Astyanax mexicanus: one gene and its partners. The protein of the gene in region 3 interacts with the protein of the main gene of each other region in a pairwise test. Links are inferred from orthologs where the notes say so. Each region holds a gene or a part of one and is shown on either strand. Other genes may lie near its edges. The genes, in order: smc2, kif5aa, traf3ip1 and smc4.

Region 1 (7,219 bases), on a different chromosome or scaffold from region 3:
CGCTCCTGTAGGACACAAAACAGTGAATAACTGATGCTGAATCTTTAGAGCTGATTACACGTCCATGATAATACATATAATAATAAATATCCCACCCAGACGGAACGAAAGAACAGACAGAAATTAAATTTATTGAAAAAGTATCAACATTGTAAGATGGTTTCCATTGCACGCTCGACTGATCATGTGACCCATGTAAAAGTGGGACTTATTGCTGTACCTGAGTTACTATTCATGTTCATCTATATAAGCTGTGGCTGGAGCTTTTCATTGTGACTGGTGCTGTCACACTCTAGAAGTGAAAAACGAAGCCTCGGAGAAGAGTTCCAGAGGGGTCTTAAGGCAGTTTAAACCTCTACGGTGATTCAACATGCCTTTGGCTTAGCCTGTGCGAGCGCCCTATGCAGCTACCCACATTAATTTTACTGCCTGTCCATATGTGTCCCTGACTCTGCATCACTGCAGTTTAAACTGCGAAGGCAGCAACGTTAGAAATGTAATAAAATTTACAATAAAACCTCCCATAATGTAAGACCATTTTGTGTTTAAATGCCTTGTATAACATTTTAGGATTATCAGATTAATGAAAAACATTTAAAAATATATATAAAAAAATACCAAATTAATCCAATTACATTAAATTTATGTACTTAGATTATTCAAAAGGAATTTAGTGGAAAATAAACAGACCAAACATTTCAGCTTTATGGACAAACTAATAACTGGGAATAACTGGTTTAAGAATAACTGGTTTAATATATTACTAAACTGGTAGTGCTGGGAGTGTTGTGACTGACCTCTTTCAGTTTCTCCATAGCAGGGGTTATCTCCTCTTCCAGGATCTGTGATTAAAGAAGATTTTATCCATTATATAAGCAATAAAATACTACACAAACACAAACTACACACAGTACACAAACACACACGCTACACACAAACACAAGTACCGTTTGAATCTCTTTCAGTTTAGCATCTTTCTTCTCGATGGTCTTCTGAGCGCTAAGTTTCTTGCACTCATACATCCTGGTACCAGCAGCCTCCTCAATCATGGCCAGAATCTACACAAGAATATTACATTTACATAAGAATAAATTATATAACAAACCAGTTTTCAAAACCACGAACAGGGATGATTTATACTTATTTAGCAACTATTTAGCACCTGAAATGTTTTATATGATTCAATTACAATAACATAGAAACTGTTAATTCATTAAGAACAATTACATTTTTAATAAAGTAAGAAAGAAAAATGTTGTTATTTAATTTTGCAAAACAATAAATAGCAAAAAAATCCAGTATTTGGTCAAATGTTTCTTGGCCCAATTAACCAGTGTTGGAAAATATTAACTCTCTCGTGGTACCACTTACCTCTGGTGGTTTCATGTTCAAAACTTTGGTGATTCGACCCTAAAAGAAAAACAACAGTTACCAAAACAGAAATATCCTGTAAATTAATAATAATTTATTCCACCAGCTATATCTTTAAAAAAAAAACATAAAAACATACCTGCATAATAAGAAAATGAGGATTGTTCACATTCAATCCAACTGAGCAGAAAAGATCCTGGACTCGCATATTATTAGCATTCACTCCATTAATGAGGTACTTATTCCTTCCACCGATAACCACCTACACACACACACACACACACACAAAGGAGGAATTAAACACCAGACTTATCACAACACGCTTCACTAATACAGATAAAGCAAAGAGAGGCCTGCAGGCTGACCTGTCTGGTGATGGTGATCTCATCGTGGGTTTCAAACCCCAGTGGGCTCTCTTTCTTGTTGGAGTTGTCAAATACAATGGACACTGTGGCTTTAGTGATTCCAGCGAGCCCATTTTTGTACACCAGGTCCTGAAGATTAGACGCTCTGACCTGCAGATATAAAAACAATAATAATTTAATTAGGCTTAGGTAAAATTAGAGCTATAATGTGTAATGAAAACCCAATACGGTCAAATATAAGGTACAGCAAAAAAACGCAAGTTTCAACAAGAAGCAAATACTTTAATAATTTAGGGATTGTTTCATCTATATATTCAATATTAGTATTATTACTATAAGCAGTAGTAGCCTAGCTAACCCTCACTATAAACTAAAACTAGCTTAGTTAGCCAAGCTAACCCTCACTATAAAATGACTAACTCAGTTAGATAACCTAGCTAACTTTCCCTATAAACTAACACTAGCTCAGTTAGCTAGCCTAGCTAATTCTCCCTACAAACTAACGCAAGCTCAGTTAACTAGCCTAACTAACTTTCCCTAACTCAGTTAGCAAACCTAGCTAACTCTCCACATAAAATTACGCTAGTTCAGTTAGCAAACCTAGCTAACTCTCCACATAAAATGACGCTAGCTCAGTTAGCTAACTGTACCTACAAACTAACGCTAGCTCAGTTAGCTAATTCAATAGAAACTAACGATAGCTCATTAAGCCAACCCAGCTAACTCACTAAACAAAATAACACCGCCTCAGTTAGCCTAGCCTAGCTAACTCTCCCTATAAACTAAAGCTAGCACAGTTAGCTACCCTAGCTAACTCTCCGTATAAACTAATGCTGGCTCAGTTAGCTAGCCTTGCTAAGTCGCCATATAAACTAACGCTAGCACAGTTAGCCCAGGCTCCGTATTTAATCGGTTTTTACCTGCGATAAGTTGGAGATTCCGAGCAGAAAACAGATGGAGTCTAGAATGTTGGACTTGCCGCTGCCGTTCAGTCCGGTAATCGCGTTAAACAGCGGGTCGAAGCCGGAGATCTCAGTCCGCTCCGCGTAGGACTTGAAGCCCTCCAGCACTATAGACTTTATATACATCTCTCCTGTAAAGTCCGCGCTACCCCGCTGTACTGCTCACTGCGCGCCCCGATACTCTATACTCTATAACTGACGCTCTACAGTAACTGATAGATAATCGATAGATAATCGATAGTAACAGACAGCAGCAGCAGCGCTGATCTATAACCGCCGGAAAGCTTCAAATGTTGAATTTGGCGCCAGACCGCCCCCCCGCTCTTCCTCTGCTGCGCTCTGTGAGTGATATATCCGGAGTGTGCCGCCACCTGCAGGTCGGAATCAGTTTCTCTGATTGTGCTGTTTATAGGTTTATGTTTGAGTAAAATGAACATTGTTGTTTTATTCTATAAACTACAGACAACATTTCTCCCAAATTCCAAATAAAAATTTTGTCATTTAGAGCATTTATTTGCAGAAAAAAACTCAAACAATGCAAAGAAAAGTTCATATTCATGCATATTGGCATTTTCTCCTCCACCAGTCTTACACACTGCTTTTGAACAACTTTATGCCTTTACTACTCCTGGTGCAAAAATTCAAGCAGTTTAGTTTGATTTGATGGCTTGTGATCATCCATCTTCCTCTTGATTATATTCCAGAGGTTTTCAATTTGGTAAAATCAAAGAAACTCATCATTTTTAAGTGGTCTCTTATTTTTTTTCCAGAGCTGTACATAGATGCCTCATTACAGGCTGGAGCGTAATCCAGCATCGTCACCTTAATAATAATATAAATTGATAATACAACTTTTAATTTTATGTTATGTTATGACACTAGTTGTCAGACTTTAAAAAGGTATTATTTTATTTATTGTTAGATTGTATTATTATTATTATTATTATTATTATTATTATTATTATTATAATTATTACAGTTTGTATTAAATGAATTTCAGATCCTCAAAGCCGGGCCATGCATACATGAAGTAAATACACAAAGTAAACAAAAAAACAAGTTTTATTGTTCATTTGAAATATGAACAATACATAAATACACACTTTATTTATATATATGCATAAAGGCGTACAGTACATTTATTTATACACTTATTAATATGCCATACCATAGGTCTGTCTTTGTTAGAGAGCATAATACAACGTATTTCAGCATGAAAGCACATATTTGTAATGATAGCTGATTATTATAGCTTTATTAAACACCTTCCTCAGTACTTATAAATGCACTGGGGGCGGCCGCGCTGAACTTCAGCTCCAATAGACGGCCTTAGTTGATGAGGCGTCTATGCATATTATGTTTTTGCTAAGGTGCATAGCCCCTAATGTAACATTTTGTTAAAAAAAATGACCACAACTTATTAAGGCATGGGAATTATATGATAATGCATTGGAACAAGATATATAAGACATGGGAACAAGATAATTAAGGAGACTTCATGACTATACTGTATTAATGAAGGGAATTAAAGGCAGTTATTATGAAAATAATACTCATGACAAATGGATTGTTACAATAAAATATAAAAACACAATATTCAAACATTCATCAAGCATTTACAAGTATTATTTACTTTATTTGTAGCTTTTAAAACACTGCAAATAATAAGGTTATTCTGTCTACAAGGTAAACATAATAAAATCAATTGTACATAAAAAATGTTAACAGTGATATAAATGAAAATCAACTTATTTGTAAAAAAAAAAGAGATTTGAAATAGGATGAAATGACTGTCAGCTGCAGTGAGGTGTTCAGTGTTTACCTGAGTGTGAGATGTTAGAACAGCTGCAGGTGATTCAGAAATACTGTTAATAGTGAGACTAAACAGGTACGGGACACAGCGTGAGACACACCAGGTTAAAGGCGTAGAAGCAGATCCTCATCAGGACCATGCAGTCGCCTCTGCTGGAGTAGATGGAGGTGGGCTGGACGTAGGTCCAGTCGAAGTTGTGGATGCGGAGCTCGCTGTGCTGATGGGTCTCACTGAGAGCCAGGAGGCATCGGGCCAGGGAATACTTCGCCGCACAGTTCACCGCTTTCACCGGACGCACTGTATCAAAGTGCATCAGGAAACAGGGATCGTCCTGCCGGAGGAAACAGAGAGATCATACAGTGAAGGATGTGAATTTAAATGCAGTTTTAATTTAACTGCCCTTCAGACACCATCAATCATGCTATACCAATACGGCTTCCCTGCCCTCTCAGCCAATCAGTGAGCTCACTGTGCTGCAGGGCTTTAATCCATACAGTTTTCAAATGCTGTATTTAAGTTTAAAGCTGTATGAACATTCCTGACTATACACTATTTGATACTGTCTGTGTTTGAAATATTTACAGTGGATTTGTTTTACAGTGGCTTGCGAAAGTATTCATACCCTTTTACACTTACACTTTTCCACATTTCTTCACCTTACAACCACAAACTTAAATTAAATGTATTTTATTGAGATTTTAACTGATTTTAAGACAAACACAAAGTGGAATGAAAAAATGATACATGATTATAAAAAAAGTATGATGCAAAAGTATCCAGCCCTCTTTACTCTAAAACCCCTAAATACAATCCAGCGCAACAGAGTCAATTAATTAGTTAAGAGAGTACAGCTGTGTGTAACTGAGGCCTCAGTGGTTTGTTAGAGAACAAGAGTGAACAAACAGTATCATGAAGACCAAGGAACTCACCAGACAGGTCAGAAAATAAAGTTGTGGAGAAGAAATTTAAAGCAGGTTTAGCTTACAAAAACATATCTCAAGCTTTGAACATCCCAATGAGCACTGTACAATTCATCATCCAAAAATAGAAAATGTATTATTGTGCAACATTTTGTGTTTGTCTATCACTTGTCAAATCGCAATAAAATACATTTAAGTTTGTGGTTGTGAGGTGACAAAATGTGGAAAGGTTCAAGGGGTATGAATACTATTTCAAGCCACTGTATCTGGGAGATACAGGAAGGTGGGGAAATATAATTATTATAATAAGACACATACAGTGGGGAAAAAGACATATTTGATACGCTGCTGAATTTGCAAGTTTCCCACCAACCAAGAATACAGGGGTCTGTAATGGTGTAGCTGCTGATGAATCAGTGCTGGCATTAACTCACTATATCAGGATCTCGTCCATCCAGAACCCTCAGTTCCTGCAGAGCCCAGACCTCCGTCTTTACATAGCTGTCCTCCAATCCTATTCGCTGAGCTTTCTTATACCCAGACTTCTGAGATTTCCTACAGCGAACCACTGTGATCTGCACCTCCTTACCTTTAGATACTGCACACACACACACACATAATACACAAACATATATACATATATACAATACACACACACAACATATATATGCACACACAGAACACACATATGTTGAGTTTATACAAATAGATAATTAGACTTTGGGTGATTTCTTACTATGAAGATTTACCTTATATACAAGCAGATTAAAATACTGGACTGAAAGATTTTTGTGTGATTTATGTGAAATGTGTCTGTTAGTTAGATTCTTACCGGATACACAGAGGAAATGCCGTCCTCGTTTCTTCTCTTCGATCTCGATAAACTCCACCAGTCTGTGCTCCTCCGGTCCGAACAGAACCCTCTGCATCTCCTCTTTCAGCAGAGAGGACATCTCTCAATCAGTACACCACTGATCAATATATCAGTGATCAATACACCAATGATCAGTATACCAAAATCAATTCAAATAATACATGAAGATCCAACAGATAACTGAGAAAACTAACTCTCTCTTTCCTTATCTCTATATCTCTCTCTTTCCTTCTTCCTCTCTCTCTTGCTTCTTCTCTGTCTCACCCCCCTCTATTTCCCTCTTTCTTATTTTCTGTCTTTCTCTCTTTCCTTTTCTCTATATTTCACTTTCTATATCTTTCTCTCTCTTTCCTTAACTCCTTCTTTCCATCGTCTATATCTCTCTTCTATCTCCCCCTCTCTCTCACCACTGCCTTTATTTCGCTCTCTCTTTGCTTCTCTCTATATCTCTTTTACTCTCTATCTCCCCTCATCTCTCTCTTTATCCTTCCCTTTCCCTCTCTTCCTCTCTCTCTCTCTTTATCTCTCTCTCTTTTGAAGGTATCAATAGTGATCCAAAGGGCTTTTCAGTTTAAATCTGTTATAAAGGCAATTAAAGACCAGTTGCTCTGAGACCACTCAGAGACTTTATCGACCGTAAATATTCAATTTGAGTTTGATTTAGAAATGCATAATTTATGTCTATAAAATTCATTCACATAGATGCGCACTGCATCCATCTCACACACGCACACTTATTATTCTGTAAAAAGATAATCGATATTTTCCTCTGCAGCTGTCATTAGATGTGAGCGAGCTGACGCCAGGTAAGCGGGTTTGGGTCTGTTAGGCTGCTGGTGGTGAGGGGAAGTGCTGATCCTCTGAGACTCAGCTAAAGTGCTTTCAATTTATTTAAAAGGGAAAAAGAAGAAGAC
Region 2 (6,944 bases), on a different chromosome or scaffold from region 3:
AATTTCTTGATATAGCTTATTCTAGAATTGTAGGTACATTTCAATTATGAAAAGATTTAACTCATTAATCAACTCTGTTATCACTCTTTAAATATGAAACAGGGTTGTTCATGATTGTTCTTAATTATTTTCATGTTTTAATATTAATTATTTAAATAAATAAGGAAATGAAGAAAAATACTGAATGAGAAGGTGTGTCTCTTTTGACAGGTGCTGTATCTCTCTGACTATCATACATTTTATACGTTTCCAACCAGAGAAAGTGACATTAGGTGCAGGTCACAGGCCTTTATTAGAATGGTTTGCAGATTTTATGCAATTTTATGTCAGAGATAACAAAGCTGGAATGTTATTTATATACTACTGCAATAAATAAATAAATAAATAAATAAATATATATGTGTGTGTGTGAAAAGTTACTTTATTTTAGGAATTCAGTTGAAAATGTGAAACTTTTATTATATATATATATATATATATATATATATATATATGTATTACACATAGAGTGATCTATTTTAAGCATTTATTTATTTTACTGTTGATGATTATGACTTACAGCCAATGAAAACTTAAAAATCATTGTCTCAGGAAATTAGAATAATATATATGAGTTTCACATTATGAACTGAATTACTGAAATAAAGTAGTAAAATAGTTCTCAATGATATTCTAATTTTTTGAGATCTTTTTGTGCATATTTTTGTGTATATATTTTTAAGCATATCATGGATATCAACAGTGCTTAAAAAACACTGGCCCAACTTTATGCAATTTAATTGAATACATTTCATCCAATACATTTTATTTTGAATAAAAGTATTTGTACTTGATTGTTCTTGTTTTGAAGTGTTTGTATTTTTTAAAGAGATTATTACTATTTTTTGTAAATTTCACAATATTATCTGTATAGAAGGGCTGAGTGATATTGTAAAAAAAAATGATCTCCATATTCTTCAAATACATGGGTAATTCTTGAATACTATTACAATTTTTAGTTCTTACATCCATTTTTTTTACAAAAAGTATGCAGCTGCCTTTAACCTTATATGCAGCTTTTATATTAAACACAGTGCAAAGATACTTTACTGAGATTTCATCTGACAGCTTCTATATGTAAAAATGTACAAGCTCAATTATCTATTAATTATCTATCTATCATTAAAAAGGTTATTTGATTAATCAAATGGATTCAAAACTGTCTATAAATACTGTGAAATCATAGTTTTGCCATATCGCCCCAGCCTTATTTATAGCAGTTAGTAGCGTTCAATTTTTTTAATGTAAAAAACAAATGGACTGTATTAATCAGGAGATGGAGATGGTCAATAATGTGTGGTTGAGATTCATTTAACTATTATTTTGTATGTAAATACAAATGCCTAAAAAACATACATCAACAGTATTGATGATCCTTGCTCTCTCTGGGTGGGTAGACAGTGCTCTCTTTCTCTCTCCACATCACTCACAAAGTGATGTGGATCAGCACATTGTCTGTTAGTTGATGTATCAGATGTGGGTCACTGTGCTTTCCTCCGAGTGTGCTGTGATGCTACACGGTAATGCTACATCAACAGCATTTTAAAAAGAGGTGGTGGCTGAGTTCACATGTAGGGGGAGTGCAACTGAATGAGTGGTATAATAGATACAGCTAAATTGGTGAAAAATTTAGATAGAAATTTGAAAAACACTATTTAAATAATTAAATAATTAAATAGTCAATAATGAGTGGGTGGGATTCATTTAGATAATATTGTGTATATATGTACACATACAAATGCCTAAACATATATAAATTAACAGTAATTAATAGCAAAAAATGAATGCAATTAATTTATTAGAATTATTATATGACACTGATTTTTTAAAAATCAGATTTATTATAGGGGGAGATGCAAAACCCCCACAGTACCCTCCCTTCAGTTGTAGAATGAACCTGTATATCAGCATCAGCATCTGTAACATCATCATCATAATTAAAAAAAAGAAAAACTAAATACAAAAATAAATCACTGCCCTTTTTCAGGTCTTTTTTTTATCAGTAAACGGATATTTAGGCTGTGGATCTGGAGAACCTGGGTTGATCGATCAGAGGGAAACGTGGCTATAAACAGCCTACGGGCCTACATTAATAAACACTAACGCAGAGCCCAGCAGAGCCCAGCATCTAACCAACCATCTAAACAACCAAGCAGAGAAAGACAAAAACACCCGGATCTACATCACCCCACTGACCGCAGCCTGAGGAAAAAGCTTCTACACAACGAAGGTTAAATGAATGGCTCGGGTACCGATTTACAGCAGGGAGAATAATGATAAACGAGCGGTGATTACGTCATACGGCCCATCCTCAGTATGCCTCAGCATCATCCTCAGCCAACGCCATTTCTCCCGTTCAGTAAACCAGCCTCTTCCTCACAGCCGTTACACTGTATATATTACATCTCTGGGTTAAATTAATCATATTATGTAAAAAAAAAAAAAAGAAGCTAGATAAGCAGCCCTACCCCAACCACGACGGTGTCATCCCCCTGGAAGGTGGGGAGAAATTTATCTCCGCGGTGGATCTCGGCCTGATTCAGAGGGCGAAAGCGGCACAGCACCTTGATGTTGCATTCTGCGGCGGGCTCGGTCATGATGCACACTGAGACTGCACGAGACTGGAGAAAAGCGGGCTGGAATAATAAAACAACAACATTCGCGTTATTAATATATATATATATGATTCAGACTGCATTACAAAAATAAAGGTAAATAAGGCTAATAATAATAAATAAATAAATAAATCTGCCAGTGAAAGCTTACGTTGCGTAAATATGTTATATCCGCCGCTGCGATGCAGAGAGCAGAGCCGCAGATTAAAGGTGGAGCTGCGAAGATAAAAAAAACCCGGTAAATCCGCCGCTGTTCGCCCGCCCGCTCTGCTCTGTTCCGCTGTTGTTCTTGGCGAAGGTGAAGCAGCTCTTGTAGGGCGAAGGATGCTGAGCTGCCTGTAGCCTCCCGGACGGCAGGGCGTGGTCTATCCGCTGCTGTTAAAGCGGTACTCGCATCCGCGCTAGTATAGCTGTGTTTCACTCCCCACCCGCATTCAGACAGACCACGCCCCCCGCGCTGCGATAGGCTGACAGGATCTGTTTTCCCGTAAGAGGAAGAATGACGCGCCCACTGTGTGTTTTTATTTGTTGTTAGAAAGCAGGGGGTTCACTGCAGTTATTCAGCATTTTTTTTTTTTTGCAAATTTGTTTTTTAAATATTTTGTTAGAAAGCAGTGGTTTCACTAAAGTTATTCAGCATTTTTATTTTTGGAATATTTTATTAGAAAGAAGTGGTTTCACTAAAGTTATTCTGAATTTTGATTTGTTCTTTTTTTGTTATCAAGCAGTGGTTTTACCACAGTTATTCAGCATTTTTATTTTTTTGTATTTTGTTGTTAGAAAGCAGTGATTCCACTACAGTTATTCAGAGTTTTTATTTTTGTTAGAAAATTTTTTGGTTTAAAAATGCTAGTTATTTTGCATTTTTATTTTTGTTAAAAAGCAGTGGTTTCACTACAGTTATTCAGCATTTTTTTTGTAAGAAAGCAGTGGTTTTACTACAGTTGTTCAGGATTTTTATTTGTTGTATTTTTTTTATTAGAAAGCAGTGGTTTCATTACAGTTAATTAGCATTTTTATTTTTTATTAGAAAGCAGGGGTTTCCCTACAGTTATTCAGAGTTTTTATTTTTTATTAGAAAGTAGGGGTTTACATATAGTTATTCAGCATTTTTATTTTTTATTCGAAAGCAGGTGTTTCCGTACAGTTATTCAGCATTTTTATTTTTTATTAGAAAGCAGTGGTTTCACTAGTTATTCAGTGTTTTTATTTTTGTTAGAAATCAGTGGTTTCACTAGTTATTTAGCAATTTAATTTTGGTTAGAGAGCAGTTGTTTCACTACAGTTATTCAGCATTTTTCTATTTTTTGTTAGAAAGTAGTAGTTTTATTATAGTTCAGCATTTTTATTTGTTGTATTTTTTATTATAAAGCAGTGGTTTTACTACAGTTGTTCAGCGTTATTTTTTTGTTAAATAAGTCACAAACAGAAGGATGAGAGGATGGACATAAATGCAGATAATATCAATTAAATGAAATAAAATCAAGCAAGATAAACAAAAGCAAAACAGAAAACACCGGAAATGCAAAAACACAATAAACAACACTGGGATAACTATTTAGTTAGACAAGTACAAAGACTATTCAAAACAATAACACTGGGATCAAATGGCTAGGACGGGGCTAGGGCTGAGAAAGGACAATAACAAAACAGAAAAACAGAGGACAGAAGCACATGGAACCAAAAGAGGAAATAATTCAAGACAGACACAGGCTAAGGTGCAACAGTTTCACTACAGTTATTCAGCATTTTTTTTTGTCTATTTTATTAGAAAGCAGTGGTTTCACTACAATTATTCAGCATTTTTATTATTTCTTAGAAAGCAGTGGTATCACTACAGTTATTCAGCATTTTTATTATTTCTTAGAAAGCAGTGGTATCACTACAGTTATTTAGCATTTTTATTTATTTTTGTTAGAAAACAGTGTTTTCACCACAGTTTTACCGCATTTTTATTTGTTGTTAGACAGCAATGGTTTCACTGCAGTTAATCAGCATTTTTGTTTTTGTTAGAAAGAAGTGGTTTTATTACAATTATTTAACATTTTTTGTTAGAAAGCAGTGTTTTCACTAGAGTTATTTAGCATTTTATTTTTGTTAGAAAGCAGTGTTTTCACTACAGTTCTACTGCATTTTTATTTTTGTTAGAAAGCAGTGTTTTCACTACAGTTATTTAGCATTTTTATTTTTATTTTTTATTTTTTTTGTTAGAAAGCAGTGGTTTCACTACAGTTATTTGGCTTTTTTATGTTTTGGGTAATCTCTTAAAATCTGTACATTATTTGTAGAAAACTGAAAAAATACAGTTACTACTGCCCTATTCATTTCCACGTTGTGTCCTGCGCTGTGATTGGCTTTCCGTCTAGAATTCTAGCCAATCCCAGCACACGAGGCAAAGCCGGTCTGAATACGGGTGGGAAAGAAAACAACATAAATACCCAGCGCTGAAGTTCTCGTTAAAAGACCCTGATTCTGCAGTTCTACAGCAATGACAAAGCACATTGTTTCACAACACAAAACAATCTGGTAATGTTTTAAAATGTTCTTGATATTTAATGCAGATAGAATGTGTACAGCCTATGAACATGCAGATCTGATGCAGTCACTTTGTCTAATTAGGGGCAAGGGGTCTATGGGGTCATTGAGATTATACCCCTGATTCTTACTTTCTCAGACTTTCAGTTCTTTAAACGGTTCTAAAGTGGACGTTTGGTATTGATTAGACTTTAATACAAGTATATCAGCAGCACACTGTCTTATGGATACAGAAAATTGGTGTAAATGTCTGGTTCTTTTAATGCCCTGTAAACATCAAACAGACAGCAGACAGATGGACAGGTAGGTAGGTAGGTACATAGATACTTAATTGTATCCAGTAGCTTCAAACATCATTATCAAGAATACACCGGAAGAATTGATAGATATACAAAATAATTAGGATTATATGAATTAGACGGGGCATATTCCACATATCATTTCATTTACTATTATTTGCATGTGTGTAGGTCCCAAAAACAGTTGCAATTCCATTTATCAGAAGTTCTTTGTTACTGTACAGGAAAAAAAAATGGCTCAACTTAACTCAGTCAATTCATCCTTTTGCATTGACTCCATTAAGTCGTAAATATATACAATTTTAAGTTTATTCAACTTAACAGATTTTTGTTCACACAACAATTATTTAATTTCTTTGGCTCAACAAGCATTTTTAAGTTTTCAGGTTAAAGTTCTCTGAACTCATTTTATTGAGCTTTACTGGCTGGTAAGTTCTTGCAACTTGATAATATTAGTTTTTCTGATTAAAACACAAAATCACTTTAATAATGCTATAGATAAATAATCTCTATTCTGAATGGCTCAGTAAATGTAGAAACCCTCCTTAAAAATTCAGCGTAAATGGGTGGAGCCTAACTACTGTAGGCTGACATCCGAAAGGCAAATTCAGTTTTCATCTGCTCATTTACAAATCATAAAACAATAAAACACAGAATTAGAGAACTGATAAGGGCTGACAAAGTAAAAAAAGAGCTCAACATAGCTGTCACTAAAATCCCCAGACATTGATGTATTCTCCAGTGATGAAAAAATATTGAATAATAATCCACTTTTCTGTCTATGATGCACTCCAAAAAAGGTTCAGCAAATAAAAAAATAAATGTATTTTCTGTTTATTGCAGTGAAGTGTGAAATTTGTTTAGCACTGTTATTTTTACTCCATATAATTTTTATATAACTCCTTTATATAAAAGTTTTTCACAATCATTCATAAGCATTTCTAAACTCATAAAATCAGTGTTACTCTGCCATATTTAGCGCTTTACTGTGCAGACTTTTACTTTTCCATTGCCGTGGCAGGGCTAAACTGCTGTTTGGCTGATGTATGTCTGTTCTGATGCATAATAGGTCTCAATCTGTCTGCAAGAATACATAAAAGAAGAAGACAGATGTTTTCCTTTGCAATGAACACATGGTTTGAAAGGGTTAAAACGTACGTAAAGGGTACTTTTTTGAATGCACTCTAAAACTTAAGGACTGTCCATTTCTACCACTTCTGACACATACAAAATGCAAAAAAATGCATAAACTCAGCTTGTCTATTACCTGCAAAGAATCATTGCCAATAGAAATGGACTCTCTAGAACAGAGAAAAAAGTTTTAGGCAGATCTGGGCTAGAGGGATAAAAACCTCTGGAATGATGATGGTGCTACCTCCAACATTTGGGAGGAGGTGAAATCATACAACATTCTGACCTCACTAATTCAGTTTTTCAAAATGCGATCAAATTATCA
Region 3 (7,689 bases):
AGCCTTTGCTGAGTTGAAGGTAGTGTGTTAGAGTAGGAAAAACACTACATATGCACGTCATGGGGTCTTCCATGACCAGAGTTTGAAACCACAACCCAAACATAGTGGGTAACAAAATTGCCCTTCCTGTGGCAGATTCCCCAGCTGGACAAATACATCTAAACAAAGATATGTTAACCATGTCTCTAACACTACATTTGCCTGTGTAAAATGATTTAGGTATATAATCACTCTGGATAAGAGTGTCATCCATATATCATTAATGTAAATGAAAATAAAATCATATATGTGCACATATGGCCTCTTGAATTTGTTAAAAAGCAAAAAAAAAAACTCTAAAATATAGTGGTAGTTATCCAGGGCCAGGGTTGGGAACAACTGGTGTGATGGGTACCAACATTGCTCCTCCAGCATCAGTAGATGTCTACCTCTGTGGCTAGGTAAGCGGATGCAGACCGTACAAGCACCCATAAGGCTTCCTCGTTTGTTTGCATAACCATAGCTAAGCAAGGTGCCTGGCAACAGTGAAGCAGTGAGAGAGGCACTAACAGAACAGAGAGACAGTGTCTCATTCTCTAATCTGAAGCTGAATACAACAGACCAAGACATACATAACTGTCTGACAGTAGAAACAGTGGAAGTATTAGATACAGGTCCACTTACCAAGTATTATTAACTTAAGGTCAACCCCCAAAAGCATCATAATGATAACTCAATAACAATGTAGGTTTCCAGAATACCCATCTATTATGGACGCTGGTTTATCCTAAAATGAACCCACATAAACTGTGTTTATGTGCACCATGGTCCTTGGAGGAACGTTGTTTCGTTTCACTGTGTACTCTGTATATAGCTGAACTGGCAATAAAAACCACTTTGACTTTGACTTTGACTATACAAGTCCTAACTCAGTTTTTACAGATAAAACCTAAACTCAAGATCTCTTTAATGCAGTTTTTACTAATAAAAACCCATATTTCAGATTTAAGCTATGTAATATTAACTAGTAACACTATCAGATCTACAGACCAAGCTATTATCACTAGTTATATTACCAGGAGAACATATCCTTTATGTATTTTGACTAGTCATATTATTATGACTGATTTACATTATTAAAATACACTCTCTTATCTATAATACATTTTTGTTTACATAATTACATTATGTATAACTTCTCTTTACTCTTGAAAATTGTCATTCCAGACATCTACAATGTAGTTTTGAGAAGTAGAAATTGCAGTTTAATACACTGAACTAAACTGTAACTATATACAATTTCCATATTAGAGATATAAACCTCAATTCCTTAACCCACACTACTAGAAGTCAAAACTATACAAGCCAGAATTGATTCATAGATGCAGACCTAGACTATATTAGTCAGAATGGCAGTGGAGATATCTTGAACTATATTTTTGTTTTGTAAGGGAAAAAAAGTAATTGTAGATATCTATTACTGAAGATTTTACTTGTACAAATGTAATTATAGGTAAGAAATATAGATTAAAAATACAATTACATTACATATATGTGGTCCTGGTAATATTAGAGATATCAAAACGTGTTTAGACATAGATCTGTAGATCTAATATTATTTATTAATAATAAACATCTTAGAGCTTATATCTGAAATGAGATCTGTTATTTTAGTTTTCATAGAAAAAACTGAGTTAGGACCTGAGCTCTTTTAAGAATTTAGAAATCAAAATTTTGTTTTTTAATCACAGTTTTCATGCATCTTGACATGTTCCTCTCCACCAGTCTTACACACTGCTTTTGGATAACTTTATGCCAATCCTGGTGCAAAAACTCAAGCAGTTCAGTTTGGTTTGATGGCTTGTGATCATCCATCTTCCTCTTGATTATATTCCAGAGATTTTCAATACGGTAAAATATAATAAACTAATCATTTTAACTGTTCTCTCATTTTTGTTCCAGAGCTGTAGATGATGTGACTAGTCAGAATGTGTTTAGCTATAGCTCTGTAGATCTGACATAATCACTATTAAAACTTTCAGACATTATATTTCAATATATAAAACTAGGCTAACTATACACAGGTTACAGAGATCTGCAGCTACTTAAGCTAGCTAACTTGAGTTTTGACTAGTAAAATGAGAGTTAGGACCCGAGTTTGGTACTGGTAATGTGTGTCTAGTCAGAATGTGTTTAGCTACACATAGATCTGTAGATCTACAGATCTAGTAACTAAACATTTCAGAGATGATATCTGAAATAATAGTTTCTATTAGTAAAAACTAACTAGCTAACTTAGCGTTAAGTTAGCTACAGAGATCTGTCACGAGCTAGGTTAGCTAATTAGCCAACTTGAGTTTCACTAGTAAAAACTTGGGCTTGGACTAGCCCTTGTAGCTAGTTAGCTGAAGCTGGTGGTGTTACTTTAGGCTATAACGGTGGGCTATAATCTACAGTGGTGGTGAAGCCAGAGCAAAACTTGGAAAGGTGCAAAACAGCAGAAGAACAACCACCTCACATCACCTTACAGCACTAATCCAGATCTGCAGCTCCCTGCAGAGCTCAGGAGAGCTTAAGTAGGAGTGCTAACCGTTAGTTAGCCTGTAATGCTGTGCGCATCTGGACCGACTGAGCCGAGGAGTTCAGAGCCAGACACAGTAACGTTAGTGAGCTAGTTAAATTATCCAGCTATAGTTACGTGATGTTTAGCGGTTTAAGCTAATTTCTCGGTAAATAACCGAACAGACAGCTCTCCTCCGGACTCACCTCGCTTAATATATCGTGCAGGTATCGGAACGGCGGTTTGCTGAGCAGTTTTTCAGTCAGGGGAGGCTTCTTTATCACTCTCCCCAGAACCTCCTGGGTCTTTTTAGCCACCGAGCCGTTCATAGCAAAGCCCTACGGTCCTCTATTCGACGTTACCGCTGCTCCCGTGTGAAATATTGAGTAATTCACCGCAAAAAGACCCCAAAAACGGAGGAGCTACAATCACTGAGCGGCTCTCAGTGTTGCTGTGTCAATAGCGTTCAATCCCACAATGCCCCGCTTCGCCAATATGCGCACGCGCACACCCTGCGTGGTTGTCAAGGGGTGGCAAATATCCATGGCAACGGCTAACAACTCCGGGCCTGTTTAATAGCATGATACACTTTAGCTAAAGCTAATACAGGATTTTAGCTAAAAACACATTTTATTATACATTAAACATATGAAAAAATTAAACATAAAACATTTACTGCACAATATACTGACTATAACAGAATAGAGAGTAATGGAGAGTAATGTTTATATGAATATAAATATTTAAAGGGGATATAGATGAACTCCTACTACTTATAATGATAGTAATAATAATAATAATAATAATAATAATAATAATAATAATAATAATAATTTTGCAACGATCAATTAATCAGTCAATCTTTATTTTTTTCTCAGAGGTAGCTGCACTGAGGGTGAGCCCGTATTTTCATTGCCGCCAACAATTTCCAATAATAGGGATTTATACTCTTTACATAAAAAAAAAATAAAACAGAGGACAGTAATCAAGCTAAAACTAATGGAAAAAAACCCCGAAAATAATCATTATTATTAATTAATATTAAACTGAAATTAAGACTTTTTTAAAAAGAGTTCAGAAAACCCAGATAGCAGATCTAGGGAAATACATAATAAGAAGGTAAACCAAAGATAAAGATAAATAGGTATAAGAAAGGTTTAAAAACAAGAAAATGTAAACAATTCAATGTAATATTTTAAGTACAAAAAATAAACTTAAGCTAACTAACTAATAATGAAATTATACAATAATAAAATATTATTGATGATAAAATAATAAACAAACATAAACAAACAAATAAATAAAAAGTGATTTGAAAAAAGTAGTTAAGGTTAAGAAAAACAGGTAGAGGCAGAATGGATGTGGTTAAAAATTAAAGTATAAAATGACTGAGTGAAATGCGGAATTTTCCAGTTAAGTAAAACATTTTGTTCAGGTTTACCAGAAGAATAAAAGTAACTAGTTTTTATATATAAGTAATTTAAACATCTCTCTGCATGTGCCCATATAGACATGAAATCCTTTAAATAATTTCAATGGTATTTTGTCTACCTTGGCCTTAGCCAAAATAGTACAATGGTTTAAAACTACAATGGTAAAAATACTGTTGAATAATTCAAGATGTCCTTGATATTTATATGATACTATTGAGTATTGTGGTATATTGAATATACCACTGCACATTTAGTACCATGAAATACCATCATACCATGGAAAAACTGCTGTATTTTTTCACATTAGATGGATTTATTAATATTAGGCTACAGTATAAAAAGCTGTCCAGTGGTGGCTCAGCTGCAAGTTCTGGATTGCTAATTACAGGGCTGTGGGCTTGCTATAACTATAAATGCAAAAAGGCACATTATTATTGCAATCAAAGTAAGTGTTACAACAGTGAAAGTGAAATAATAGTTACAGGTTATGAAATAGATCCAATTCCAATGAGCCAATTCACAATATCACTGATTGCAGAGCACTGCCTGTGCTAAAATCTGGCTTGTTCACTCTTTGACACACCTAAAAAAATCTGCCGGTCCCATGAACAAAGCTACAGACAGGGAAAAAACCACACCTTTAATTCATAACAGCCTCTAGGCCTCTAACTGGTTTAAGCAAATTCTGTGCTTCAACATACACAACAAAGGCAGCCACACATTCTTAATTACAAATCACCCCTGTATAGTTCCAAAGCAAGATCAATACACCCCTGTGATTAACAACTGAACAGGTGTTATTTTCTTATTTTATATTTTCTCCATCTTTTATTCCCCCCAATTTAGCTTAGCTAATGAACCTGCTCTCACATTAGGATGTCCTCTATCACTATTAATTCTGTTACATGTGAAGCCAGTCGTTGTTTCTTCAAATGCAGAATCACTAGGTAATCAATGAGCTTAGAAAAAAGCACCAAATCCCTAGTTCTGATACATCAGTCAACATACATCTGTGCCAGCCAGCATCACAGACAGTGCCATCTACCTACCCGGACAAAAAGAGAATGGGTGGCAAGGCAGCTTGACCTGTGATTTGAGCATCTGGTCCTTGTGCCATAGTGTCACCTTCTTATGAAAAGAGGTTCTTTTCCTGAAATTCTGAACCTGCATGCTGTATCTCTACAGGTCATGCCTAAAACCAATTTTATCTCCACCAATCCACAGGACGTGTTTCTTTGAAAACTTGTGTCACAAGAAAAGTATTCTTTTGCCTACATATAGGTCACAATATAAAAGTGCACTACCACCCCAAAGTCAGAGTCAATCTTCCTTAAGGTCTTTTACAGTCAAAGAGTGGGTTTTGATTTTCCTTTTTCGAAACCAGTCAAATGTAAAATTTGGGGGGGGGGGGGACTCAAAACTAAGCATATTAAATATCAGATCATCTTCTATTTACTTCAGTATTTCTTTAGTAAGAGATCAGTATTTGTCCAAGTGTAACCTGTGCATGATTCCCATTAGTGCTAGTAAACAAAACATGAAAAAATAATTGTAAATTGTGGTTTATATGAATGTGAGAATTTGAGTCATTGAAAAGCTACTGGGAGGAGGACGTCTTGTTTAGCCATGTGTTCGTACGTGTATTCAGACCTGTTTGGCGAGTTCTTTTAAGCTATAAATGCACCTGCACCACCATGAATACTGTCAGACTGACAGAGCAGAAGAGCAAAGCTGGTTCAGCCGTTTCACTTTTGGTAAGATTTCTTTTTACTTAAAAACTGGTATTTATTGTTTTTTAATTAATTATGTATTATTGGGAAATTGAAAGGTGTTGTGTTTATGCTTGGCTGTGACAAATTAAATGTCATATTTGTTTAAGTTGTGTAAAGTGTATATCTGTGATTTTTTTTTTTTCGTTTTTGACAACAGTATAATTTATTTTCACACAACTGGGATAAGTGTAAGCTAATATTGAGATATAGAGGAAGTTATGAACAATTATTATAATCAAAACAAGATGCTAATGCTTTTACCAGCCTGTCTAAACATGCATTTCTAAAAAAAAAAAAACTAATCACATGCAGGGTTCTCAATATTTACTCCACAACATGATTTGTAAAAAAAAAATCATAAAGGAATGGTCATAAAGTAGCTTTTGAATAGACCAGTTATTTGTATATTCAGACCAGTTTGGTGGGTTTCATAGCTATACATATACCTGCATACCTGTGGGTTCTGTCAGACAATTTTTTTATGTCTACAAAATGTTTTGTTTATTGTATTGGCCCAATGTGTATGTCATTAATACAAATAAATGTGTGTAGATATTTTATAATTAAAAAAGTAGCTGTTAAACAGACCAGTTGGCCATATATTCAGACCTCTTTGGTGAGTTTCATAGCTGTAAATACACTCGCATGTGTGTGAGTTCTGTCATATAAAATGTGTTTAGGCTCATGTTAGCAATTGCAGGAAGATTTTTCAATAAATCTATTATATCCTGATTTGTAAAACATCCTCAAGAAAAACTACACCTACAAACAGTGCAGTTGCCTTTTAAACCGACCAGTTAATCATGTCCAACCACTTGCTCAACCAGCCACCTCCTCTTTTTTTTTTAAGCAATCCCTTTAATAGCTACAGGCTGCAATGTGAAAGGGGTATGGTACTTAACTAAACACATTCCACCATACTGATCATACTGATAATTTAACACTTAACACAGACATGTGCACAATATACTCACTGTTTGTCTGATTCTTACAGTAATCATGGGCCGCTGGTGTGTGTACGCATTGCTCTTCTTCTTATCCTGTGACGTCTCCATGCAAAGAAAAAAGAAAGTAGTCCAGACTCTCTCCAGAGGTAAGATCATTTCAAAATATGTATACGTATTTTTCCACACTATAAGGTGCACTGGATTTTAAGATGCATTATGCGACACTAGCAATGAACAGTGGTGTCGCCCTGTTTTCCTTCTGATTCAGCAGGTCTTGCCACTGGGTGACGAGACCTTTAAATCTAAGCCATGCAAAGTAACAAAACTATAATTCAAATAAGCACTGGATGTTAATCTACACAGATTTCTCTCCTAAATACAGTTTATTTGGGTGAGTAAGGAGCTTCTATTTATTTGCTGCAAGCTTAGATTTCCAGATTTCCTTAAGTGTTCCGGTAAACCAGGGTGCTATTAGCTAGTGGTTTACAGGTTAGACAGGTTAACCTGGTAGCAGGTTACAGACCGATAATACTCACCTCTGAACGGCGAAAGAGCTAGCTAATGCTAATACTGCTCAAGTTTTGAGTCTTGGGGCTGGAGAACCAAACTAAAACTCCTGTATAACACTGCACTTCAGCAGAGTGGCTTTACTGCTCCTTACAACCTTTCTTAAGTAAGGCCATGAAAAAAAACTCTTGGATTTAAATTTGTAAAAGAAAAACTGTCTTTGTTTTAACTAGACTGACTCTTATTGCACTAAATTAGGATGATGTGTCCTGTAGATCAAACAAATTTGAAAATGTGCTATAAAAAGAGCCCATATATATATATATATATATATATATATATATATATATATATATATATATATATATATATATATATATATATCTTTTATGCTATATCTACTTGACTGTGTCCCAATGGGTGCTGTTTCTTGTAGAAAACTAGAGGTCCTACAGGTAAGAAAACATAAAGAAGTTCACATTTAGATGCAA
Region 4 (6,902 bases), on a different chromosome or scaffold from region 3:
GCACCTATCAAGACAGATTACACTAAATTGTTAGTTCACGAATAAGATGGAGACAGAAACTTTATTAACACGTTTTCGTTCAAAACAAAACAAAAAAATAAAAACAAGTTAGAAAACACACAGAAAGAAGATATACATAGAGAAGGGGTACAAAAACTTCTGTAGAATAAGGACAGCAGAGCTAAGTTAATGCTTTAGGTCAATTATTTAAAACTTGTCCCAACAAAAACAACACTACTAAGACTCCTGTCTTTATCATTTCAAACTAAACTAAAAACATAAAATATACCAGCTTACATTGCATACGTCCATATTAATATTAAAGCAACTATAACAACCACAAAAATAACCATATAACTATAAACTCACAAAAACACGCGTCCAAAAATACCATACGCGACACCCAGAGTAAAGACAACCTTAATATGTTGTTGCCAAAGAGCAAAAAGTAGAGCAATCCTTTGTTTCTTACCATTAGTGTTGGGTGCTGGTGGCAGGTCTTGGTCACCCGAGCGAGCTTCTTTAGTGGGGGCTTGGTGTATCTCCTCGTCAGAGTCATCCTGAGACCCTTTTCCTCGTTTAGCAGCAGTGGAGGACTTGGTCGTTTTTCCTGGCATGATTGGCTAAAATCTGAAGGAGAAATTGGGCAGGGGTCAGTAATCATGGCTAGCTTTAATAGATCCAACCCGGCCTGAATCGGTGACTCGGTCCAGTGTAGCCGGTGCTCATCATTATGATCATCATAATCATTCTCCTTCATATCCATCTCCTCTCCAGAGTAAAACAAAAAATCAATAATAAATAATCGAGAGTATCCACACGACGTTGATTCAGGTTACTTGGTCTTTTTGCGATGCATTAAACTCCTCGACTACTTCCAGCAGCAGCATGAATGAGACCGATATGTTAGCTAGATAGACTTGGCTGGACCTGTCCTGTCTTTGTTGTTGTCAGAGGTTGGCAAGCCTGCCTCCGTGTATACGCTGTAGTAACGCGAGTTAGCTAGTAATTCACAAAAAAAAAAAAGCGTTTAAAGAATAATTAAGCATTGACGTGAACATCCACCGTCTCCAACAGTTAGGCGAATAGCTGTTCATGGGTTAAAAATATCTTAAATAATAAAAAAGCCTAGTTTAAAAAGTAGCTTTGGTTTAATTTGATATTTCCCCGCCGAATATCCGTAAAATAAGCTCTAACGTATTTTCTAACGCTGACGATTTGCACGGTGGCCAACTAGCTAGGTTAACTACCAAACACCAAAGTTTCACTGCTCACACACACAAAGCGTCAAGAGTTGCCCTGCACTAGCACGACGATGAAAAAAAAAATGGTGACGTTTCTCTCTGTCAACAACGAGCTATGAGACGCGAAAGGGCGAATTGATGCTGCCAAGGCGAACTACATTTGTTTCTGCTAATAAAAAAAACTAACGTTATCTTGTTTAAGTGCAATTACACATTTATACAAGCACCTATTATTACACTAGATATTTTTTTATTTATTATTGATTAGTGGCGCCAATCTGCATTTAGACTAGTAGTTAGTTAGCCAACTAATCCTAGTTAGTCACAAATAGACAGACTATAATAGCTAGTTTGCTAACTAGATAAAGAGTGAGGAAGATAGTATATAACGTTACAACTACACTAGCTAGCTTGATAAGTTAACCTACCTACCTACATAATATGTCCAATATTTTTGTGTACACACCATCTAATGAACGCCAGCTAACTACATGCATTGGTGGGTTTGACACACACAGCCTGTCTAGTCCCTTTAGAGAAACACTGCCAATATAGGAAATTTAACTAGCTTGAACTCCCTGGGGTAGATAAACATGAACATGCTGGCACTATGGTAGCTTAGCTACGTTAACTAAAAAGTTATCGTAACTAGCTATAAAGCCCCCCCAGCATTAAGCTGTGAGGCATTGGAAAACGGTGTTGTCTGGAAGAATTATTGTGCTCCATCCAATACTTTTAGCTAGCAAGGTTAGCTAACTAGATGTAAGGAGCCCGAGTGTTAGGTTAACACGTGTATAGTTAACTAGCTAGTAAGCTAATTTAGGTAATCTAGCTTTAAATTAACAAGGGTTAAAATATAGCTTGTTTTTTTAATAACTTAACGCTAAATTAGTTAATCTAAATAGTTAGGATATGTTACGGAGTTGTAGCAAGCTATCTAGAGCGACGTTTTATATAGCTAACCTAGCTAATATATCCGATATTTTGAATCGTATTTAAAATACATTTAGTAACCTAGCTTAGCTAATGTAAGTTAATTGTTATAACGTTAGATCCAAATGAAAGTATTAGTTAGAAAACAAATGCAATGAAAACCTTAAACCACAACACAGCGTGGGAGTAACGTTATTAGATTAATGTTTAAATGTTGTTTTCTGCTTACATGTTCCTAATAACAAAAAACGTGAATGCTAACTAGCTAGCTAGTTGAACCAAATTAATGTTAGTTAACCTAGCTAGCTAACGTTAGCCAGCTCGCGTTAGTCTAGCTTGTCAGTTAACAGTTACATAACTAGACAGCTAAGTTAACTAACGCTATTTTAGCTAGTTTTGCTAAGCTAGCATTAACTAAGTTAAATGTATTTCGCTCGTAAGTAAAAGTTATTTAGCATAGTTAACTTTTTAACATAGTTCCTGTATGTTGATTTATGTCTTAACGGTTGACTATTTGCACGTGTATACTATAAAAATGCAGTTAATAGTCTACTTCCAGCTTTACATTAAAATCAGTCTGCCGTCAGTCAGTGATATTCCCCCTAATAGCTGCTGAAAACAATACTGCCTCTCTAACAAGCTCCGTGACTAAATTAAAACCGCTTACCTCTCAGGTTTGAAAACGCTCTCCTATGTAACCCAAACGTGTCGACTGCCTAAAAACGCGTTTGTAATTTTTAAATATAAAAATAGCATAAATCCGAGCCCGTTTATTTTCGCTGTGATGAGGAAAATCCAACTTGAAAATGGCGCCTAAATTCGTTACAAACCCGCGCAAGGCATCATGGGAGCCTGCGCCGACTTCAGTGCCCAAATTCAAACAGAAAAGTGCGGACTGTGCCAATTGTCGTGTTCAGATGTTCAGCTGTACAGCTAATACCGTCTTTAAACTCATTAAAAACGTGATTTAGTTCTGTTTTTTTTACATTACCCAAAATATTAAGGGATTTGAGCAATAAACTGTGTTGTGAACAGCAGAAATGTATCACACAACGCATGTGCCGAGTCTGAGCTATTGGTTTAGTCCAGAGGATCTTGAGGAAAACTCACCACCACGGTGGACGGAGAGGGCGGTTATATAAACCTGATTTTAGATATTATAGTCTGAATATCAGTGCTTACAAAATGTGAAATAAAAATAGAGAAAGTCTTTTTTTAAGTAAGATATTTAATATATACTTGGCAGGCAAGTAGATAGCAATTTTGATTTTAAAAAAGATACACTAACTTAAATGTTTCAGCATCATCTATCATTATAGCATGTAATCTGTTTAATTACTTGTTAATTTTTTTTAAGATACTAATTTATTATTTTGAAAAAGTAATTACTTACGTTCTCAAAATAATATGATAGCAATTGAAATACATTTGGTACTTTTTGTACATGGCGTACATAAAATATAAATAAAAAAGTAAATAAATATATTTATATATTCAGTGGTATGAAAAAGTATTTTCCCCTTTTATATCAGACATACATAACCTAAGTAAATAAAAAAACACTTTCTAAATTATAATTTAATTTATAATGGAAAAAACTATCCAAACCAATCACCAGACAATCCTGAAGAAGAAAATCCGGCCACCTGCTTGTGACCTTAAGCTCAGGCATACTTGGCTTCTGCAGCAGGACAATGACCCAAACAGACAAACAAGTCCACCCCTGAATGGCTTAAACAAACTAAATAAAGGTTTTGGAGTGGCCTAGTCAAAGTCTGATTTAAACAAGCTATTTATGCTTGAAAACCCTTCAAAGTGGCTGAATTAAAACAACTGCATAGAAGAGTGGGCAAAGAAGAGTAGACCAAAATCCTCCACAGAGATGTAAAAGACTCATTGCCAGGTATCAGTAAAGCTTGGTTGCAGTTGTTGCTGCCAGCTGACACAACCAAGTTATTAGGTTTATGGGGGAAAACACTTTTTCACACAGGGCTACATTGGTTTGGATAGTTTTTTTTCTTTTAATAAATAAATAAAAGTGCTTTTCATATTTACTAGGTTATATTTGCCTGATATTAAAGTTTGTTTGATAATCAGAAAAATATCAGTTTGACAAAAAAACAAAAACAAAAGAAATATGTAAGGGGGCAAATACTTTGTGTATATATGTGTATATATAGTCTTGTCTGGGGTTTTAGCAGAGTGCAGGCAATGTTTTAAATATTTAATTCTCCTTTGACTTATAATAATAGTCCATATGAACAATAAATCTCATATAAACTCGAGTCTCACAAGAAATAATAATGTGAAAAAAATGAGGGATACTATTGAGTTCTCATGGTGTGCCTTACAGGTTGTAATTATTATTGATTTAGAATTTAAACTTTTCTAATGTAGAACTTATTTGTGGTTATTAACACTTCTGTTGAAAGCATTTTTAGGTTGTGATGGGCAGTGCTTTGACCAATGGTTGATGGGAAAGCAGAAAAATAGACCAATCGTGGATGCAGGAAGGCGGGGCTTCAATAAAATCAATATCCCAGACATTTTACAAAATGTAGAAATATCAGACGCATTTTTAGATGCCATAAGGGGGCGTGTCTGATAAAAAAGAGACATTTGGTCAGTCTTATTTCTATAAAATGTGTCTGAGTGTAGCCAGACGAGCTCTCATTGTGAAATATCGCGAGAGTATGGCTCTGGAGAAGCTTCTCGGGTAGCGCTGCACTGGGCAACCTGAAAAACAGAAACAAAACACGTTAGAACTCTGAGGAATGTGCACTGAGTTAGCTAGCTTTATCAGAGACGTAAGCATACAGTCTATTCTCTGTTTTAGAAAGAGCTCTGTTAGTTTTTACGACTTCATTTTTTGTTAAAACAGCCGTTGGTTTCATACAGTTAGCTTTAGCTTGAGCTAGTAGACAGGCAGTCAACGCGTTACCCGTAGCAACGAGGTTTAGCTCAGAGGGAGGAAGGATTTCCATAACGTTACTTCGCCGCCTTTTGAAGCTACGCTGTTTTTTTGTGTTAAAGAGACACATTTGAGATGTTTTCGTATCACAGACGTTGTTGAAGACGGTGGACGAAGCTGTTGGACCACATTTCATCCATTTATGTAAGTTATTTAGCAACGAATGACTGTTGTCATGAGTCGAAATATGTAATATTTCTGTAGCTAATTATGTGGAATTCATCCTCTTCTATGTCTGTCCTGACTCTCCACAGGATTTTGATTTTATGCTACACCTACGCTGAAGGAGAACATGAGATTCAAGCTCTCTCTGTTAAAGGAACCGAAACATATCCTTTCGTGATTTAACTCTGTATTAACCAGCTAACCAGCTGCGGAGTTCCCAGATGTATTATAATTTAACGGTAGCCTAACAAAGGATATTTTCCTCTAATCAACATTTTCTAAACAAGTAACTTAAACATTACAGATCACGAAATGTTTACAAATGCCATGTTAACAAAACACAAGACATGCCAATAATCATAACCGTTACTGCTTGATATTAATAATAAGAACACCAATGATAATAGGGGTGCTGTCTGTTTCATTATTTGGCCAGGACCTACAGTACCAGTCAAAATTTGGATATACCTCTTCTCACTCAATATGTTTTTTTCTTTCTTTTTACGATTTGTTAATTACAAATATTATATTGAAGACATTAAAGCTTTATTTATTTTGTTACAAAAAGTGTTCCAGAATTTCCCTGCACACAGACCTGCACACTGTTGGTATTTCAATCTAAGTGTCTTCATGAGGTAGAGTCACCTGGAATATTTTTCTCAACATCTTAAAGGAGTTCCTGGAGGTGCTGAACAATAGCTGCTGCTTTTCCTTTATGCTGTGAAGCTCTAACTTAGCTCATCCCAAATCACCAACTCCGTTGATCAGGTTTAGGTCAGGGGTGGTGGAGTACAAATTTCTTTTTTTGTTTTACTACACAGTTCCATTCATTTTTGTCCCTTATTTTTATGTCTTTAATATTAATCTACAATGTAGTACAATAAATTAAATAAAGAAAACATGGGCTGAGAATGTGTGTTCAAACTTTTGACTGTTATTGAACACTGACATACCAAAAGTATTGGGATAGCAGTATGCAAATTAATAAAGAAATGTTCCCTCAGGGGACCGATTGGTAACACTCAGAAGTGTTATCTTGTGAGTAGGGATGCGCTGAAATACAAAATTGAGTCAAAACTAAGGAAAAACTCCAAATACAAACATTACATTTTCAAAGTTCTGCTGGCACTTAACATACCTTGATCCACAGTGTCACGTGTATACAAGGAATTTACAGGAGAAGACTAAATTACCACCCATGGTGGACTGCACAGTAGGTGGTAACGATCTAATGGCGTCTGAAAAAATAAACCAGAGAAAAATAATGCAGAAAGCCCCTAACACAGATCCCACAGGTCAGTGCAGTGTTCTTTAGCTTACATGTGACATGACAAAAGTGATGGGAGATGATGCTGGTTCAGTTCCCATGGCTTTCCGTGATGATTGTTCCTATTTTGGCCCTGTTTATTCTGGCTGTTGTGTGTTATGAAAATAAGTACACCAAAAGAGATGCAATAATCAGTAGGGGAAAATAACTTTTTACAGATCGCCTTAACAAATGTGCACATACAGAACTGGTCAGCTGTGTGGGCTGGACCACAGCTGATGAACTATTCTCCTGCAGTGAAGACCATCAGATTTTAAAGTGG

What was found.
Region 1: the proteins of traf3ip1 (region 3) and smc2 interact in a two-hybrid assay, tested with the Homo sapiens proteins (2 studies listed by BioGRID and IntAct). The link is inferred for Astyanax mexicanus from reciprocal best matches to the Homo sapiens genes TRAF3IP1 and SMC2.
Region 2: the proteins of traf3ip1 (region 3) and kif5aa interact in a two-hybrid assay, tested with the Homo sapiens proteins (2 studies listed by IntAct). The link is inferred for Astyanax mexicanus from reciprocal best matches to the Homo sapiens genes TRAF3IP1 and KIF5A.
Region 4: the proteins of traf3ip1 (region 3) and smc4 interact in a two-hybrid assay, tested with the Homo sapiens proteins (2 studies listed by BioGRID and IntAct). The link is inferred for Astyanax mexicanus from reciprocal best matches to the Homo sapiens genes TRAF3IP1 and SMC4.

What each region holds. Positions count from the first base shown.
Region 1 is NC_064432.1:23,820,836-23,828,054, reverse strand, and holds the start of smc2 (structural maintenance of chromosomes protein 2), read right to left. Parts: upstream 3,023-7,219; 5' UTR 2,825-3,022; coding exon 2,657-2,824; intron 1,887-2,656; coding exon 1,737-1,886; intron 1,634-1,736; coding exon 1,511-1,633; intron 1,411-1,510; coding exon 1,372-1,410; intron 1,059-1,371; coding exon 948-1,058; intron 843-947; coding exon 798-842; intron 6-797; coding exon 1-5. Other genes in the region: exoc1l (exocyst complex component 1-like), read right to left, coding at 4,579-4,842, 5,866-6,029, 6,264-6,384. UniProt on the Homo sapiens protein: Central component of the condensin complex, a complex required for conversion of interphase chromatin into mitotic-like condense chromosomes.
Region 2 is NC_064419.1:9,770,969-9,777,912, forward strand, and holds the start of kif5aa (kinesin family member 5Aa), read right to left. Parts: upstream 3,020-6,944; 5' UTR 2,806-3,019; intron 2,676-2,805; 5' UTR 2,637-2,675; coding exon 2,508-2,636; intron 1-2,507. UniProt on the Homo sapiens protein: Microtubule-dependent motor required for slow axonal transport of neurofilament proteins (NFH, NFM and NFL). Can induce formation of neurite-like membrane protrusions in non-neuronal cells in a ZFYVE27-dependent manner.
Region 3 is NC_064418.1:38,618,476-38,626,164, reverse strand, and holds the start of traf3ip1 (TRAF3-interacting protein 1), read right to left. Parts: upstream 3,028-7,689; 5' UTR 2,869-3,027; coding exon 2,746-2,868; intron 1-2,745. Other genes in the region: agr1 (anterior gradient 1), read left to right, coding at 5,651-5,726, 6,739-6,837.
Region 4 is NC_064411.1:42,058,532-42,065,433, forward strand, and holds the start of smc4 (structural maintenance of chromosomes protein 4), read right to left. Parts: upstream 3,018-6,902; 5' UTR 2,845-3,017; intron 631-2,844; 5' UTR 618-630; coding exon 473-617; intron 1-472. Other genes in the region: ift80 (intraflagellar transport protein 80 homolog), read left to right, coding at 5,441-5,475, 6,818-6,902. UniProt on the Homo sapiens protein: Central component of the condensin complex, a complex required for conversion of interphase chromatin into mitotic-like condense chromosomes.